3 linked regions of the Daphnia pulex genome follow. The protein of the gene in region 2 interacts with the protein of the main gene of each other region in a pairwise test. Links are inferred from orthologs where the notes say so. Each region holds a gene or a part of one and is shown on either strand. Other genes may lie near its edges.

What was found.
Region 1: the proteins of amyloid-beta-like protein (region 2) and JNK-interacting protein 1-like interact in binary tests that used the Drosophila melanogaster proteins (3 or more experiments, as listed by UniProt). The link is inferred for Daphnia pulex from reciprocal best matches to the Drosophila melanogaster genes Appl and Aplip1.
Region 3: the proteins of amyloid-beta-like protein (region 2) and fasciclin-2-like interact in binary tests that used the Drosophila melanogaster proteins (3 or more experiments, as listed by UniProt). The link is inferred for Daphnia pulex from reciprocal best matches to the Drosophila melanogaster genes Appl and Fas2.

The regions. Positions count from the first base shown.
Region 1 is NC_060024.1:10,402,799-10,408,414, forward strand, and holds JNK-interacting protein 1-like, read right to left. Parts: upstream 3,065-5,616; 5' UTR 2,830-3,064; coding exon 2,747-2,829; intron 2,640-2,746; coding exon 2,365-2,639; intron 2,295-2,364; coding exon 2,166-2,294; intron 2,094-2,165; coding exon 1,998-2,093; intron 1,935-1,997; coding exon 1,492-1,934; intron 1,413-1,491; coding exon 1,234-1,412; intron 1,164-1,233; coding exon 1,091-1,163; 3' UTR 986-1,090; downstream 1-985. Other genes in the region: uncharacterized protein LOC124200172, read left to right, coding at 1-15, 91-320, 407-680; tryptophan 5-hydroxylase 1-like, read left to right, coding at 4,931-5,026, 5,087-5,182, 5,256-5,463, 5,542-5,616. UniProt on the Drosophila melanogaster protein: The JNK-interacting protein (JIP) group of scaffold proteins selectively mediates JNK signaling by aggregating specific components of the MAPK cascade to form a functional JNK signaling module.
Region 2 is NC_060020.1:2,957,767-2,963,698, forward strand, and holds the start of amyloid-beta-like protein, read right to left. Parts: upstream 3,471-5,932; 5' UTR 3,327-3,470; coding exon 3,249-3,326; intron 707-3,248; coding exon 518-706; intron 1-517. UniProt on the Drosophila melanogaster protein: During development, plays a role in the regulation of the neddylation pathway. Appl and APP-BP1 interact antagonistically during development.
Region 3 is NC_060017.1:6,490,706-6,495,886, reverse strand, and holds the end of fasciclin-2-like, read right to left. Parts: exon of another isoform or gene 3,385-5,181; intron 3,186-3,384; coding exon 3,015-3,185; intron 2,291-3,014; coding exon 2,185-2,290; intron 1,896-2,184; coding exon 1,761-1,895; intron 1,503-1,760; exon of another isoform or gene 1,408-1,502; coding exon of another isoform or gene 1,377-1,407; exon of another isoform or gene 1,203-1,376; intron 1,076-1,202; coding exon 973-1,075; 3' UTR 236-972; downstream 1-235.

The sequences.
Region 1 (5,616 bases), on a different chromosome or scaffold from region 2:
GAAAACAAAACCGAGGTACAGTATAAACAGTTGGGCCTCATTTTAAGCGATGGCGCGGTGTATAAAATTTACCCCCGTTTGTTTCTCCAGTCTTTAGATACGATGAAGCAGTTCTTTGACGGCTTTTTGTTGCGCATCGGATCAAATATGCCCACGGGCCAGAGAACACCGCTGCTTAAAAGTTTGGGAGTGGAGACTCCTTTGATCCGCCAAAGCCGGCGTTTGACTCCCCGCCGCCCTTTGTTGGACTCGGCTCAAGCTTTTAATTCTACGACCATCAAGTACGAACTGAAGCTCAAACAAGTCTTCGATACCATCGAGTAAGTTGTGTCTCCATTTATGCAGTTCCGTATTTTAAAAAAAAAAAAAAAAAACTCCTTCTGATTGACTGTCTTTGAACGTTTAGTCAAAAACAACAAGAGAACAATACTCCTAGCCTCAAGAAGAAAGCGACGAAGACCCCGATGAAATTCAATACGGCTTCCAACAGAGTATCAGTAGCCAGCGAGTGCCCATATCAATTGGTCGCCACTCCAGTCAGGCGCTCAATGAGACCCAAAAAGGGGATGGTCACTTTAAACGAACAAGTTTTGTACGTCGGCCAACTGGATGAACTTTCGCCTGCCACCAGAAGCAAGGCCGTTGTGCGTAAAAACAACGCCTTAACCACTGATCTCTGAATCTAATTAATTGTGGAACCCAAAATTCAAAGCATAATCTTCCAGTTCTGTCCCATTTCCCATTGTGTTTCTTTTTCTTTCTTTTTTTTTCCATTGCATTTTCGTTTTGTTTTAAGAAAAAATTTGCATTCTCTTTCGAAGTAGATGTCCCTGAATTTGATTTCAGTATTATTCGCCCGTGGAAATGGTTTCAATAAATTTCGGTTATACCAGTTTTCTACCATTCGTCGTGACTGTATTGGTATTTAATTAATTCACGTTGAATGAGCAGCTTGTGAAATGAAGCACTCTAGAAAAGACGAGAAGAAATATGCGACTCCGTTTATCACAAGGAGAGATGTGAGAGTTTAGAGGAAGTATGGGGGAATGTAAATATAATAACGATTATCAAAAGTGCTGAGATGAATAAATTACTCCATGTAGAACTCGTGAATCGGGTAGGCCAACTCGATGAATTTACGACAGAACCGTTGAAACGCTCTCCTACAGCCAAATGATATCATTTTTACATTTTGAATAATAGAAAATTAATAATCGTTTCTATGTTTAATACCCGATAGCTTCTGCTACGTGACGAGTTGAGCCGTTACCCTGAAAGACATGACAGGCGAACCGCTCTTCAGTCGGATGTTTGGTGATGAAGCCGAGGTAGTGCTGCTCACTCGGATGAAACCCGCAGAACGTGACATTTTTCAAAGCGAAAAAGTAATCGTGACACGGGAATCGGTCCATCTGTCGTGTGTGTGTTTCCAACCGTGAATTAAAATTAATTGAAACGAAATAGAGAGAGAGAGCTAGACAATACTCTTACGTCATTTTCTTTGCACTTGTCCATGACGTGAAGTCCCTGGTCGGAGATTTCTAGAAAACAAGGCTGCGGGTGGGTGACGGGAGATTTGCGCATACGTTCAACGGCCGAACAGATCACCTGCTCCCCTTTGTTGACCATCGTTTCGACTGATCCCAAAAAATCCAGGGCGTAGCGCTCCTTGTTGACCCGCCGTCCGTCGGGATCGAAATCGTAATCGACGTCGACGACGTAAGCCGCTGGGAAGATTCCTCGACGCTGAGTTCGCAGGTTGATCCCGTCACACCAACAATCGTCGGCCTCCTGCTGGACGTAAACAGGATCTCCGATGTCGATGTCTATCTCGTCAGAGTGTCGGCCGGTGAATTTGTGCAGACCGCGGTGTGTAGCCTCGACGTCGGTCAGCACCGGGAGTGATTCGGCGCTCGGCGTCGAAGACGCAGTATCTGTTATTTTTAAAATTCAATTCGTTATCAATTTCAATAATTAATTATAGGGGGGAAAATAACCTTTTGAGCCTTCTGGCGAATGAGCCGTCGAGTCTCGTCCGGAATCGCCATCCGTCCCTGGCCAAACGTCAGATTCACAAGGACTGTGTTCTCCTGCTGTTTATTTTTAATAAAAGGAACTTTGGATGATTGTTTTGTTATTTGGACAATTGGAAATAATTATAGTACCTCGATAGTGAAGGTGAGGCTTGAAAAATTGGCGATGACGGTGTTCGGATACTAATGAAATGCACGACGACCCGATATCCAATTGCGATAGCTCATCGGCGAGTGATGGAGTCCGTTTGAAATCCAATTCTGTGTATAATTGATTAGATATTGATCCTTTTCTTTTTTTATTTCGATAAAACATGTTTTGATAGTATACTTTGATGAATTTTTGGGATTTCTGGTAGTTTTCTTCTTTTCCTTTCGAGTGGCTTGTGATTGATTTCCTTGACAGGATCGTTGGCAGCCCCATCTTCTGGATGAGGAGCTACTGGTACATTTTCTGTCGTCCCAACGGAAGTTTGGACAATTCCGGTGCTTCCCTCTTCAACGATCGTCGATTCCCGTTTGGCAAACGGAAACTCGGTGGCACACGATGAGAGTAAGCCCTCGAAATTCGGCAAATCGTCACAGGGCGTGATGTCGTGAACCAAACTGCATAAATATGCAAAACAAAACGATATGATAATATACTAAAACCCCACCCCGCTAGTCTAACATAATCAATGAAACAGCCAAGTCAAATGATGACAACGACTTACGTGTAGCACTTGGCTGACGCTCGTATGTGCTGAGGTAATCGATCGAAATGCAGACGAAACTCTTCAAACTCGGAATCGGCCATGATTTTCGGTTACAACCAAAAACAGCAGCTGAAGAACTGAATTCGGCAAATAATAATAATGAGCGGCCTGGATGCAGCCTGCAGCTGGGGGTGTGTATATTAACAACTACTACTCGTTACTACAGAATTCGGCTATTTACTGAGCAAAGTCTCGACCGAATAAGTTTCCGATGCGTATACATATACGGCCGACTTTGGGGTGCTGGATCGTGCCGGATCCTCTATACGTGCCAACGGGAGTATGTAGAAAGAGGTGTGGCTGCTGCCGAGTTAGTCCCCCGGATTGCGCATGCTCACGGGGTGGTTGGTGTTCCAGCAGGATGCCATAGCGTGAGCCAGAAAAGAAATGTGTCCCGAGACCATGGAGATATTGATTTTTTCCCAAATTTCTTTTTCAAGTCAATTTATGTTCCTCCTCCTGTGTGTTTTTGATAAAAACTCAACACGCACGACGCGGGTCGATTAATCTAAGGAATGGGCATCTAAGCAAAACACTCCGTCACTAACGTCGTCGCCGATTAGTATCTACGTTTTAATTCAATCAGCGTGTGGGCGTATAGGCCACTGCGCAGCGCCAAAGTGAGAAATACTTAAACGTTGGCACGACTTAACATCGTTTCCAGATGATAATCTTCGTCGGCTATATCACGCAATACACGAATATAATCTGAGCTTTTTTTTTGCGTGCGTGTAGGTGGAATGGCCAGAGTCCTATGTAATAACGGATGGGATTTCTTTTAACTGTCACCAAACCACACATCGTAGATCACGCGGCCAATTTTTCTTTTTTTCCTTCCAGCGGATACGTTCTGTCCGCCCATATCGTCGATATATCGGCGACCTTAATCAGATGATGGAATGCGCTGCTGCGCGGAGGAATTGTAAAAATATAAAATAAAGAAAACGCGGAATAGATAATACTGTACGTCAGCAGCACTGGGCTTTGGGACCCAGAAAGTTTTCAATCACTTCTCAGCGATTGGGAATATGTATAAAACGATCGGAATTGAAATAGATTCAACAAACGGCACCCAAATAAGTGTAATATTCTTTGATTTCTTTTAACCTTTTGTTATCTGGCGTTTGTTTATACAAGAGCGCCAATGCATTCGACCGGAAGGTTCATCCAGCACTCTGGCCGTTGGGGAGAATGAATAGATGTTGATACATTATAAACGATTCTGAGCGTCGGGACGCTGATTATGGAATCGTTTTTATTTTTTCTTTCTTCCCATCCACTTTCTCTCTCCCCCACCAGTAGGTCGACGCTGTGTCTATATAGGGCCTGGAGATAGATAAATCCATTCGATGCCCAGCAGCAGCAGCAGCCATCAAGGCGAAAAGCGCCAGATCGTCAAGAGCCACTCTAGAGAATTGCAATATCCATCTGATTACTGAACCAACTGACTGTTGAATAGTAATCAATTCGAGAGAAGCTTCTGGCAATTCTTTTTTCGGTATAACTACGTCGACAAATGTGCATATAAGATGACGCCGCTTGTTCAACCAACCTGGACTGCTATAGTAGTCAGTGATGTTCAAAAGACGACTATTGTTCACCTTTTTGAAAAAGAAATCTAAACTTTTTATTCAAGCTCGCAGATGACGTATAGTATCTCGTCATAACAATAGCGCGTAATGATCATTATTACTATACACAGCAGGTCTTTACGGTTTTTTGAAACCGTCACACAATTGGTTTCGTCAGACAATCGACAGGCATATCTCCGTGCAGACTAAAATATCGTTGAAAGGCTGATACACAAGCCAAAAGGATTGTTGAAGAAATGGATCCTGCTGGATGGGGAAGACGCTCTCTCTATACGATTCGATATCCAGATGAAGCCAATCGGCGCTATGAGAATTGGATGCGTGCGCGTGGGCGAATCAAGAACCATCCGGCCGGTTGGTGGGTCAACACGGTGCACGGACGGGGGGTGCGTCGGACTCGGGGGGGGGGGGGTATATAAACCTGCTGGCCTACTGCTCCGTCTTCAACCTTCCTGCATTCATTTCTATACATCATCCGCCGTGTGTCGTATTTTTATATACTATAGTCAGGTTTTCTCTCTGCTGCGATTCTACCAATAAGTATTTTAAAATGAGCGCATCCGGCAAAGGACTCCTCGGTCTTTGGCTGTACAGGATGGGCGAAGAAGAGTGGAAAATGAAGGATTCTTATCACACCGATCGAGAAGTATGTTTAATCATTTATTTTAATTAAAAACAATTAAATGGATTGTTTAATGACAATTAGATGGTGCCCAAAACTGGCGATACCAAAACCAATACGATGATCTTTTCGTTAAAAAATCAACCGGGAGGATTAGCTCGAGCCCTCAAAGTGTTTCAAGTTGGTCTATTTATAATTCTAATTTAGCGATCAATTCTTTTTATTTTTTAAAATGCGCGTTTTATGATATAAGGCTAAACGAGTGAACGTCGTGCACATTGAATCGCGTCCTTCGATGCGCCGGAATTCGCAGTACGAGATTATGGTGGACGTCCAGTGTAACGACAATCAAATGGCCGAGCTGATCGCTTCGCTTCAAAGTGAAGTGGCCGCCGTCAAATTGGCCGAATTCGACATGGGAGTCGATCCGCCAATGTCGCCGGCTATTGGCGGAAGTTTCGGTAAGTTTTTCATCAGCAGTTGGTATAACAAAATTTTAAAAGTGGTGGCCTAATAACTGCGGAATGACATGCCAAAAGATAATTTTGACGAAATGGTCTGCTGGTTCCCGCGTCGCATTTCCGAACTGGATCAAAGCCAGCGCGTTTTGCTTT
Region 2 (5,932 bases):
TCCAACTTGGGGTGTAGATCCCGTAGGGTCCAGGGCTTGGTCAAAAAGGGGACAGGAATCACTAAATTGAAAATGGGATTTATATTTCGTTTCTAAAGGAAACGAGAAGAGAAGAGAAAAAAAAATATTGGAATAGACGAAGAGTGGGACGGTTTGTCCGAAATCGATCCAGACCAGACCCGAACCAAGTTCGTCCCTACAAGGAGCTAAAACGGATCAATCGATTCCCTTCCAATTTTCTCCCATCTTCCATTGACGTCGTCTCGTCTCTTCTTCCATTTGGCCAATCGATTGGCCCCACTCCAATTGCCTCTTGGGAGGAACTTTTCTATTTTATTTTTCATCGGGAAGGTAAAGAGGAGACGACGAGAGATGGGGAGAAAGAGAAAAAAGTAAGTCAACAACAAATCGACCACACGAGCGACAATCGATACAAACGAGGAGAGTAGTACGACGACATGGCTGAAAGCAAATCATTTGATTAGTTTCGATTGTCCACATGTTCCTTCTATTTTACCTTGCGGCAGAAATCGAGGATTTCAATCTTGTCCTTCAGACAATAGCTTTTATTCTCCAAATCCGAGACCCACTTTCCGGTCGAGTCCATGTACTGCGGATGAAGCGGGTTGCGGAGGTCGCAGACGACAGCCACTTGGGGCTCCACCTTGATGGGGGCCACATCCGATCCGAATGATCCAGCGACAGCCTAGATATATGTGTGTTATTAAGAAAAGCAAAGAAAAAAACAAATTACATCAACAACATCAATAACAGCGGAGCAAAAGATAAGAGGAAAGTCAATTGCACGTCGGCCCCTCTCGCACAGATGTAGTAGTACATAACAAGACTTAGTGGGAAATAGGAAAGCAAAAGGAGGGGAGAGATATTATTGATTGGATCCATCTCCTGCTACATCTCTGAAAACTTTTTTCCCCCTTTTTTACAAAGAGCTCAATCAGTTTTGTTTGTATGCCCACACACACACGCACACATAGGCCGGTCTGAAAGCAACTAGCTTACTTTAGAAATTTCCTCTTGTCAGTCTTTAGCTACTCGTTTTTCTTCATCTTCGTATTTCGTGTGTATACACATCGTCTGTTCTGGGCCCAACTCTTGATTTATGTGTGTTACTCTCGTAACCCCAAGGTAAATAAAAAGGCGGTAGTGGTACAGTAGCACCACAAGAGCATTGCCAACATGGCCGACCTCATTTCTTTCATTCAAATACTACAAGAAATGAAATATTCGAACCAATCACCACGGCGAGAGAATGGTAGGTACATGAAGTGTGTTTCAGTTCAGCAGAAAATAAAAAACAAAAAGAGGAAATAGTGTCGAGTTCCACGGAAAAAAAAGGCCCCTCGGCTTTTTCAGTCCCCCCAAAGCATTTGAATGGCCCTACGGAAACGCGACACCTACTTTTCCCCTTTGTGTGTGTTTCCTATTTTCCCCCCCCCCTGATTATTTTGACTTTTTTTCTTCTTCACCACACATAGGTATATGTGCGTGTCATGTAAAAGAGAAAAAAAACCGAATGTGTGTGTGTGTGACCGTCACTGGCGGAAATGACTAAAAAGGGGCCGACTCCGGGACTGAACTCTCATCCCCACACGACTCGAGCGAATATGTGCGCCATCAATCGATCGGGGCCTATACACATTTTTGTGTTTGTGTGTGTGTGTGTGTGCTGGAAGGGTTGATTAATATTAGATTGGACTAGAAAGGCAGGCGGGCCTGATTAAGCACGGTAACGAGACTACCAACACAAAACCAAACTCAAGTCAGTTCTTCTTCTCCCCGTTCAAGTTGTTTTTAAGGACTTTTGGCTTTTTGATCTTTTGTGAAAATAAAAATGGAACTATTTTCTACGAATAGGAAGAAACGGAAGAAGAAGGGCTTGGCCTTTTGCGGAAGTCTCTAACCTTCTCCTCCACCACAGCTGTTCAATTAAGAATAATGGCAGCTGGTGAATACTAAAGGGGAGAGACCAATCTTCCCCCATTTCTTCCTTTTCAGCTGCTCTTTTCTTGTGTGTGTGTGTCTCTTCAAAAAAGGAAATAACTCGGGGAATATAATTCTCTTCTTAAAGTACAAATCCCCCCCTTTTTTTCGCTGATGCTTGACTTGTTCCAACTCTTTTGTCACCGACGAAATTGAACGACCGACCTGAACGGCTCGTCGAATGTTCTTTGCCTTGGCGAACTGATGATGAGGTCGATCGATTCCTTTTTGTCTCGCAACACACACACACACAGACCTCGTCCCCTTTCCATCTAAACTCGTCGAATGTCCCCCCAAGTCATTCTCTCTTTTTTTCCATTTTATTCGTGGATAGCAAACTAAAAAACGAGACGGGCAAATCCCCCGGCCTATAGCTGAAATGCAAAGAAAAGGAGCGAACTATTTGTTTTCTTGCTTCTGACGATTTTACCAACGACTGGACGTGCGAAGGACGTCTCCCTTTCAGATTATAGAATAAATAGCAGGGATACACAGAAGGCAGCGACAGGGCATGGACAAGGTGAAGAAATATGAGATGTTCTGTCATCTAAGGTACCTAATCAAAAGCTCGAGCCTGATCCATGACATGAGAAGGAAAAAAACACGAAAAAACCCAGAGGGGAGGATGAAATGTGACTGCCTTTCAGACACACATGGTGTGTGTATGTGTGTGTGGTGGGTTTTTTAATCAAACTGATCCATGCAGAGTCATGCACCTCCACTCCCCTCTGGATTCCTGAAACAACGGGACCTGCTGATGTTGACTGAGACAATGAGGTGTAACCAATCCCTCGAAAAGCTCCAGCTACAAAGACCAAGAACGAGCTGCAGCCTGCAAAAGTCTGAAACATCAGCCATCGTGGGGGAACCTAGCTCTCAACAAAGGGAAAATGCCAGACAAAGTGAAAGACGATAAAGGTGTGTAAAGTTAAAGCATGTAAAGAGTTATGAAAAGGGGGACACGAAGGTCGATCAGCCAAGTTGCCAGGCGCATAAACGTATATATACGCAGGGGGGAAAAGCTTTATGGGATTTCGATACTAGAAAAAAAAGGGCCGCGTCAAGGCGAATGGCGGATGGACCGAGTCACACACACACACAGACACAGGGCTCACACACACACAGAGGGCACACACACACACAATCGATTGTTTTCTATTTGTTTTATGTCGAGGAGGGTGGAGAGAGAAGGAAGAAATGGGAAAAGATCATGGGAATCCATTTGTAGTTTGAAAAGGAATCTATACCTCGACGTAGGCAAAAATGTCGGTTACACTGATGGCGGATAGGACGATGGCGATGAAAAACACTTTTAAGTTCCACATTTTTGTTGCTTCTTCTGTGTGTTGAGAGGGAACAGAGGAACACACCCACACTAACAACGAAATGAACTTTCTCGCTGCTCAGCTGCCTCTTTCTGAACTGACAGAGTGTGGACGATGCCAGGCTGCCAGATTAGTTTGCGACAGCCGCCGCTGAGGGGCAGCACCGATGCGACCTATTTCACTGCGCCTGCGCGCCACATTTGAACACGAAACTCCCAACTTTCTTCTTCTTTTTTTATTCCGTTTAAACACATATATTATAAAGGAAGTTGCTGGCATTTGGAAAACTAATAAGGTAAATTGAAAATTGAAAACAAAAAAAAAAATAGAGAATTAAAACTGCCGTTGAGTTATACAACACTCCGCTCCGCTGTATGATTTTTACAAATTTTATTGGCCTTTTTTCTTCTTCTTTTTCTTCTCCTTCCCATATTTTGTTTCCCCTGCCTTTTGATTGAAGCAGTCGAGATGAAAAGCTGCGATTTAATAATATGCAGAAAGACGGGAGGAGCAATTTACGAGCTCCAAATGAGTTTTCCTTCCGAGTTCCGTGTCCGGCTCCGCCTCCTGTTTCTTCCTGTTACTTCCTCTGAAACGGAGCAAAGAAAATGAGGCAATTTACCAGGAGGTCGGGAGGGAGAGAGAGAGAAAGATGTGTCAATAGCGAATGTTTGAATGTTGCTCTCCTTTTGAAAAGAAAACAAAAGCATATAACGAGATTTTTGGGTACACACATAGACGAAGAAGTGCATCGTCGTATCGTTAAGGTAGGCAGCGCCCATACGTATACATACTATATAGCCCACAATACAAATGCATCTCTCAACTAAAATGAAAATGAAAAAGGAAAATAATAACAAGGAAAAGAAGAAAAGAATCGAAAAGGAGCCGGCAGTTGGCGTCGTCATCGATCCGCACGAAGGGACTTGTGACAGTCAGCACAAGTCACGAACTACACACACACACACACCGCGCCCGTCTCCAATATAGTAAAGTGTATATTGCTGTATACATATATATATATATATCTATGCACAGTGGATAGACATCCATCAGCTAGAGCGAATAAAGCAAAAAGGTGGTTGCAGCAGCAGCAGCCATCATCATATCGAATCGGTGAGGCGATGGTTGTGTGTGTGTGTGGTGATGCGGCTGGGCGGTGGCGGCCCTGCTATCGATTTTCCCGTCCGGGTCCCCCCCACACACACACAGCACTCATGGCGGTCGTCGTCTCTTTTCTTTTGCTCCCACCTTTTATTTTCATTCCCTCTCTCTCTCTCTTGTGTGTCGAGTATCTATCTCGATAGCTCGCCCGCCATCAATAATTCAAGTGCATCGCAGCCAGAGGCCGCGGCCGGCGTCTCTCTATGGCCAAAACCTAAACGACTTAGATAGAAGACCGTCCTCTAGACTACTATAGGCTATATGTACTAGACGCCATAGCTTTTGCCGATTGGCTTTCTCTATGTGACTACTGCGTGTGGACTGTGTAGAGCTTCACACGTCCACAAAAAGCGACGACTGCACACGTAGATATCTCTTCCGCTCGTCTCCTCTCGACTCCAGTAGCACTCGGTCCCGCTGCTGCTGTGTGCATGCTGAAAAGCATATAGCGACCGCGTCCGGCTCTGCTGTGTGCTGGCCTCTTCTATATGGTGGGGACGATTCTGGCCTCCTTTTGTGTTGCCCCCCCCCCCTTTTTCGACTGGAAAACGCCAGTGATTATGCACGTCGCCGTGGCAACGCTCGTTTTCGCTTCCTTCGGCGCTGGATGCGTGATGACGCTCTAGCACAAGTCAATAACACTCGCCACCGCCGCTATACTCCGCTGAGACTGGGCTGCTGTTGGTGACAGCGGCAACTCAAATATATTTTGGCCCAGCACTCGGCTATCTATAGACAGTCGACTATGGCTGGAGAGAGAGAGAGAGATATTTTTTTGATTATTATATTCGCATTGATTCGATTCCGCACGCTAGATTTACGCGCGCACCATATTGGCCAGTTGCTGCTGGCCCGTCCATTATTACTCTCTCCATTTCACTTGTGTCTCCCAGTCCAACTCTAAATGGACAGTCCATTCTATTTGGGTGGATAAAGTCACAGACACTAACCCCCTCCGCGCCAACGCGTAATTGATTCGAGGAAATCGGGAGCCAGCTACTCGTACGAAAATTTGCCCTTCATTGCTAATCGCCATATGCGGATGATGGCAATTGCCTGTGGGTGGGGGGGAATGCTGGGCCAACACTTTATATACATCCAACACAATGTGGCCCGTTTGGCAGAATGGAAAAGTCTCTTTTGACGAGAGTCTAGAAAGTAAACTGTAGCATTCAGTGAGCGGGTGGCGGGACTATAGCTGCTCTATGTGTGTACAGTACACATTGATGTGGGCGGCGGAATTGAATCCGGGCGGCTGCTGCATGTGCATGGCCATTACCAACGGAGATCCGGTTGCAATATCCTTGGCAGCAATGGCAATGGCAATGGCGATGGCACCACCACCACGGTCCATGCAGCCAAGGACACGGGAGTTCGATAAGAGCCCTGGTTCTACTGTCCGGAGTTGCGAGATTGCAACACGGCCAGTTGGTCCGGCTCCT
Region 3 (5,181 bases), on a different chromosome or scaffold from region 2:
TCATGGAAATGAGAAGCGGCGTTGCCAATATACGAAACTCAATCGCCTAAGAATACAAAAAAATTTCAAAAAATTTGAATTCAAAGAAACAAGCACAGAGAGCACCTCTCCATGCCCATTGCTCTGGTAATAAGTGATTATCTGGGAGATGTGATTATCTGATATCTGATCATGATTGGCTATCTTTTCTAAGTCGTGTTTGGTGAGAAGAAATAATTTTGGGTTAACACTTCTATTAATTTCAATTATCTTTGTATTTTGATACGCGCTTGATTTTTCAAAGATGCACAAGAAACGTACGACGATTCATAAGCAACAAAACTAAGATAGAGGGCACACAGCGTGAAATGTTCCTTTTGTTTTTTTTTCATAAAAATTCTGGATTGAACGAAATTATGGGGGAGTGATGTGACTTCAAAAAATTCTCTGTAAAAATGATGAGATATTTAAAAAACCAAACTACTACAAAAACCGAATACTTGTTCCAATGGACAAGGCAACGAGTTACACGAATTGATGAGCAAATCACTGTACTGTGAGACTTACTGTCTTGCCTTATTTCGTATTTGAAAAAAAAAGAAAGGTTTTATAGGGGTGCCTTGGTCCGGATCATAAAACATAAAATCAGATGAAAAATCAAGAGAGCACACACGTATCAAATGCACCATCAGCGGGAAAGGTTAAGAGGAGCAAAGGGACATCATTCAAATGGCAAGGAAATAATATACTGCACATATGATATCATAAAAGTCGGGGAATGCAAATCAACCGAAACATGACATGACAGAAAAGAGAGCAATTGGATAGCAAGAGAGTAATGATTTCTTCTCCTTTACTTTTAACTTTCTTGATTTTTTTTATGTTTTTGTTTTCTTTCATGGTGGCAGACAGAGAGCTGATTGGTATATCGAATTATTTTAAAATGAGACAAACAAAAAAAAAGTACTACTACGGGCGGACGTTTGACACGCGCTAAACTGGAGAGTCTTTGGCCACACTGGACTTGGACGCGCTCTTCTTGAGACCGTTGTTGATGTCTGTCACATCATCCTTGATCAACTCCTTCTGGTCGTCACTAATCAAATGTCAATCATTAAAAAAATTATTAATTAGTACATTTCAGAGAAAACATCTTGGCGAAGAAAATATGGAATGCGTAAAATCAGTTAACACATCACCAAGTAAACTATGATGTGACTCACAGCTAGGCAAAGAAGAGCATGCCATTTTTGGGGGAGTTGTTTTGCGTGTGTAGAGTGGGTTACGATAGGAAGATGAGAAAGAAGAAAATAAGAAGAAGAAGAATGTGTTTCGGCTTTTAAATGTCGGAATGGAGAGGCTCGAATCGTCTGTTTAACGGCTGGACGGGCTCCCGACTAGTCGGTCCTCTTCCAGTTGACCGATCGTCTGTTGCCAACAAACCGGCGTTACTAGGACTATTAGTCGGCCAGCGAGTGGTTACTGGGGTTTTGTGCAGTTTATCGCCAGCGAAACGCAGAGCTCTACCGGAAATAGAAAACGATATGACCGAGCATGCAGAATAGAGGGGCGCAAAAATAAAATAAATGCAAAATAAATAGTAGTAAAATAAGTGGACCAACTCACCAATAAATCAAATGAAACAAGAAGCTGTAAATAAACTACGGGGAAAGACAACTAGATCACAGATTTCCAAGCCAGAAAGAAAGCCAACACCACAACCGACGATCCAAAAGAGAGCGTTCACGAGGAGAGAGTTAATTGGAAGAACGAATTAATACTTGATCAAAGTGGGACTAGGTTGATCGACTTGGGCCGTCTGTTGCTGCTGCTGCTGTCGTTGGTCTGCACGGGGTGTGTCGCGGGAGGCATCCTGGAACTCGACCGTCACTTCTCTCAGCGGCGTTTTCTCGTCACTGAGACGCAGATGGATTTGTGTAGACCCAAGCAGAGACAGACAAGAGACAAAGGAGAAAGAGAAAACATACATAAGACAACTACAAGAAACTGGTAATGAAACGGCTACAAAAGACAATAAGGTAACGAAATTACGTCCAGTCACCACCCGAGATCTTACAATTCTTAGACAAAAACTCATTCTGTTTCACAGAGATAATTAGTTAAAGACAAAAACTACAAATCTGCTAGACGCCGACAAACGGAAAGAGTTGACTTGTGAGTCGATCAATGAAGAAGCTAACTTACTTGTGTTCCTCTTTGCCACCTTCCATGAGCGCTGCATTTTTGTTGCTACCGTTCCGACCGCTGCTCTTGTTCCGACCTGATCGACTGCAAATCATGTACGTCAAACCTGAAGGAAGAAATCAATTGAAACGAATTTAAAAATGGGATTCAATTAGATTAACGGGGAATTTTTTCGGGTGAACAAGCAGTTGCTACGACGAGCGTTAGATGGCGTCTCTGGAGTCAAAACAAAACAACACTCGGCTACTACCTTCACGCCAACGTAAAATAGGTTAATCCCCTTTTCTCATTTAATCGTTTTCCTTCTCTTTCGGCGGTTGGTTCAAAAATTCTTTCGAGCACTTTCCCGAGAAGTATGTAATTGCTGAGCGGAGCGAGTACTTTTATTTAGTAGATGATGGGGACATTCCAAAACTGAGGGAAAAAAAATTCCCGACAAACTCTGCTGTTGTTTCTTTATTACTCCGACGACAAAATTCCCTGAACGCGGAACGAGGCGGCAGTTTTTCTTTTTATTATGGCGTGCGCTATAAAAAAAAATGGGAAGGAAAAGGGGGAAAAAGTCGAGCGAACCGAGAAAAGAAAATTGATGATGTCTGGTCTCTCGTAATGACATGCAACTCGCTCCAGGAAAGCAACAATGGAAAATAAGTCGACAGCTCAACACACACCAGCCGAGTGGTGGTAGTAGCAGTCGTAACAACTGTTGTATAGTAGTTACCAACATGAAAATGACGTCACACTCCCGTCGGCGTAGAGTTCGTTCACACCACCGTGAAAATGATTAACGAGTGGGAATGTAGAGAAACAAAAGAAATACACATGTTTACCTCTCTTGTTGACAAAGTAGCACGAGACGTCGATGATCAAGGCGATAAATATGAGGACGACCACTATGACTCCAATGATGACGAAAGTGCCGGTCTTAACTCCTGGCGGGGACGACGAGGCAGGATCTCGAGGCGAAGCGGTGGACGGTTCTACTTCAACTGCGGCAGGGTCTATAGGAGAGAGAGGCAACGCACCACACCCCATAACGCGACAGACAAATTCGTGTGTGAGAGGTTATTTGATATTTTCTGGATGTTTTTTCTTTCGTTCTTTTACATTACACAATTTTGGCTTTGACCTCTCTCTCTCTCTTTTTCAACTTTTTCTCTTTTAATTTCGTTAATTGAATTAAAATAAGCAAAACGACACTGAAACATATAAACAGTCTCTATGTCACTTTCTCACGTTATCTGTTTGTCATTTTTCTAATGGCTATAAATCATCAGGGGGAAGAAAATCTATACAATTCTAGAGAATAATATGCAAATGTGTGTGACGACACTACCCCCACCCAAACCAATGCGACTTTTTGGTTATGAAGACAAAACACGACACAACAAACGACGACGAACAGACAAATAACGTATAAGCCAGTCACGGGGAAATGGATGGGCGGAGGTGATTGGGATTTGTGGGAAAGAGCAGAGAGAGCTGTAATATCTATATTCACTACTATAACGCCGCAGAAAAAATGATTATTTATAAATAATCGGTCAAAGTCAAAAACTTTTTTTTTTGTAAGTTTTTTTGTTTTGTTTTGTTAGAAAACGTGATTTTCAACATTATTATTGGTTCACTTCAACTACATAATAATACTTGTTTAATTTTGTTGTTGTTTTTTTGTTTTTTCTGGGGCGAATAAACAAACCGTGTATTCTGGAAACTTTCGTCGTTTTTATTTTTTTCAAAGTAACTTTTTTTTGTATTTTATTAATTTTTTTGTTTTGTTTTGTTGGGGAGTTTTTTTTTCCAAATTTCCTTTTTAGATCTCTCGATTTCGTCTCAAAAATGGAAAAGATGTACAAAAGAAAAACAAAAATTCAAAAACGGTTTTTTTTTCTCAAAATGTTTTGTTGATTTTCTTTCTTTGTTTGTTTGTTTTTTTTTCATTTGAGACAAAAGTCACGAGAGATAGGGGGAAAAATGTGTCGGGATTATTTAATTGTTGTTCCGGAAATAAAAGATTATATAAGTTGGGAGGGCAGGGCAGGAGGAGGAGGAAAACGAACATGACAGCAAAAAACATTTGGGCAAAACAGTAATCTCTTATTTCTTCTCATTTTATGTGTACCGAGCAGAAGGGATGAACGAAGGAGGAGTTGTTGGAAGGGAGAGAAAAAAAAGAAAAGCTTTTAATTCTTTTTTTGCCTTTTTAAACGAGAGATCACTAAATAGGCATCTGAAAATTTCTTGGGAAGTGAACCAATTGTTTGTAAGAAAAATAAAAAAGAATCGTCCATATTTCTTTTTTTTTTTTTTTGATCCGATAAGTATGTGTGTCTGTGTGTAGCATATATGGAAAACAATCCAAAAGGTTCGACGCAAAGTATTTTTGGGATCAAGAAGGTTCTTGAAATAAAAAAAAAGAAATAAACAGGGGGTAGAAAAAAGGAGGGAGCAAAGGAAAACAAAAGGAGAAAAGAGGGTTAAAGATCAAAGAGGATCAAAGAAGCCATATTAGATCAAATCAAAAGAGGCCATAACATGCACATTTTTCTGTTGTTTCAGATAGAGATGACACGTACGGTATGCATACTGAAGTATCGGAAACGAACACAAAAAAACAAAAATCCCTTCTATTTAAAAAAAAGATATTTTAGCCGCCAAGCGTTAAGATTTGGTTAAAAACACAATGCCTTTTTTTTCCCTTCTTCATTTCTAATTCTTACTGTGTACAAACATTGGCTTTTTTTTTTGTTGCTTTGTTTTTCGATGGGGAGGAGGGGGTTTATGTAATAAGAAAAACTACTCCCCCCGGTTTGATCATCAATGACACACACCCAACTCAAAAAAGTGGTCTCTATATATACATACAGCCTACATTGTGTGTGTATAGTATATATGAAGATATGGGGGACACGACAACACACTGGAATGGTTAAGAGAGAAAAATTCGAAAAAATTAAAAATGATAAAAAATAAAAAGTTTTTTGGCTCCAAATTCGG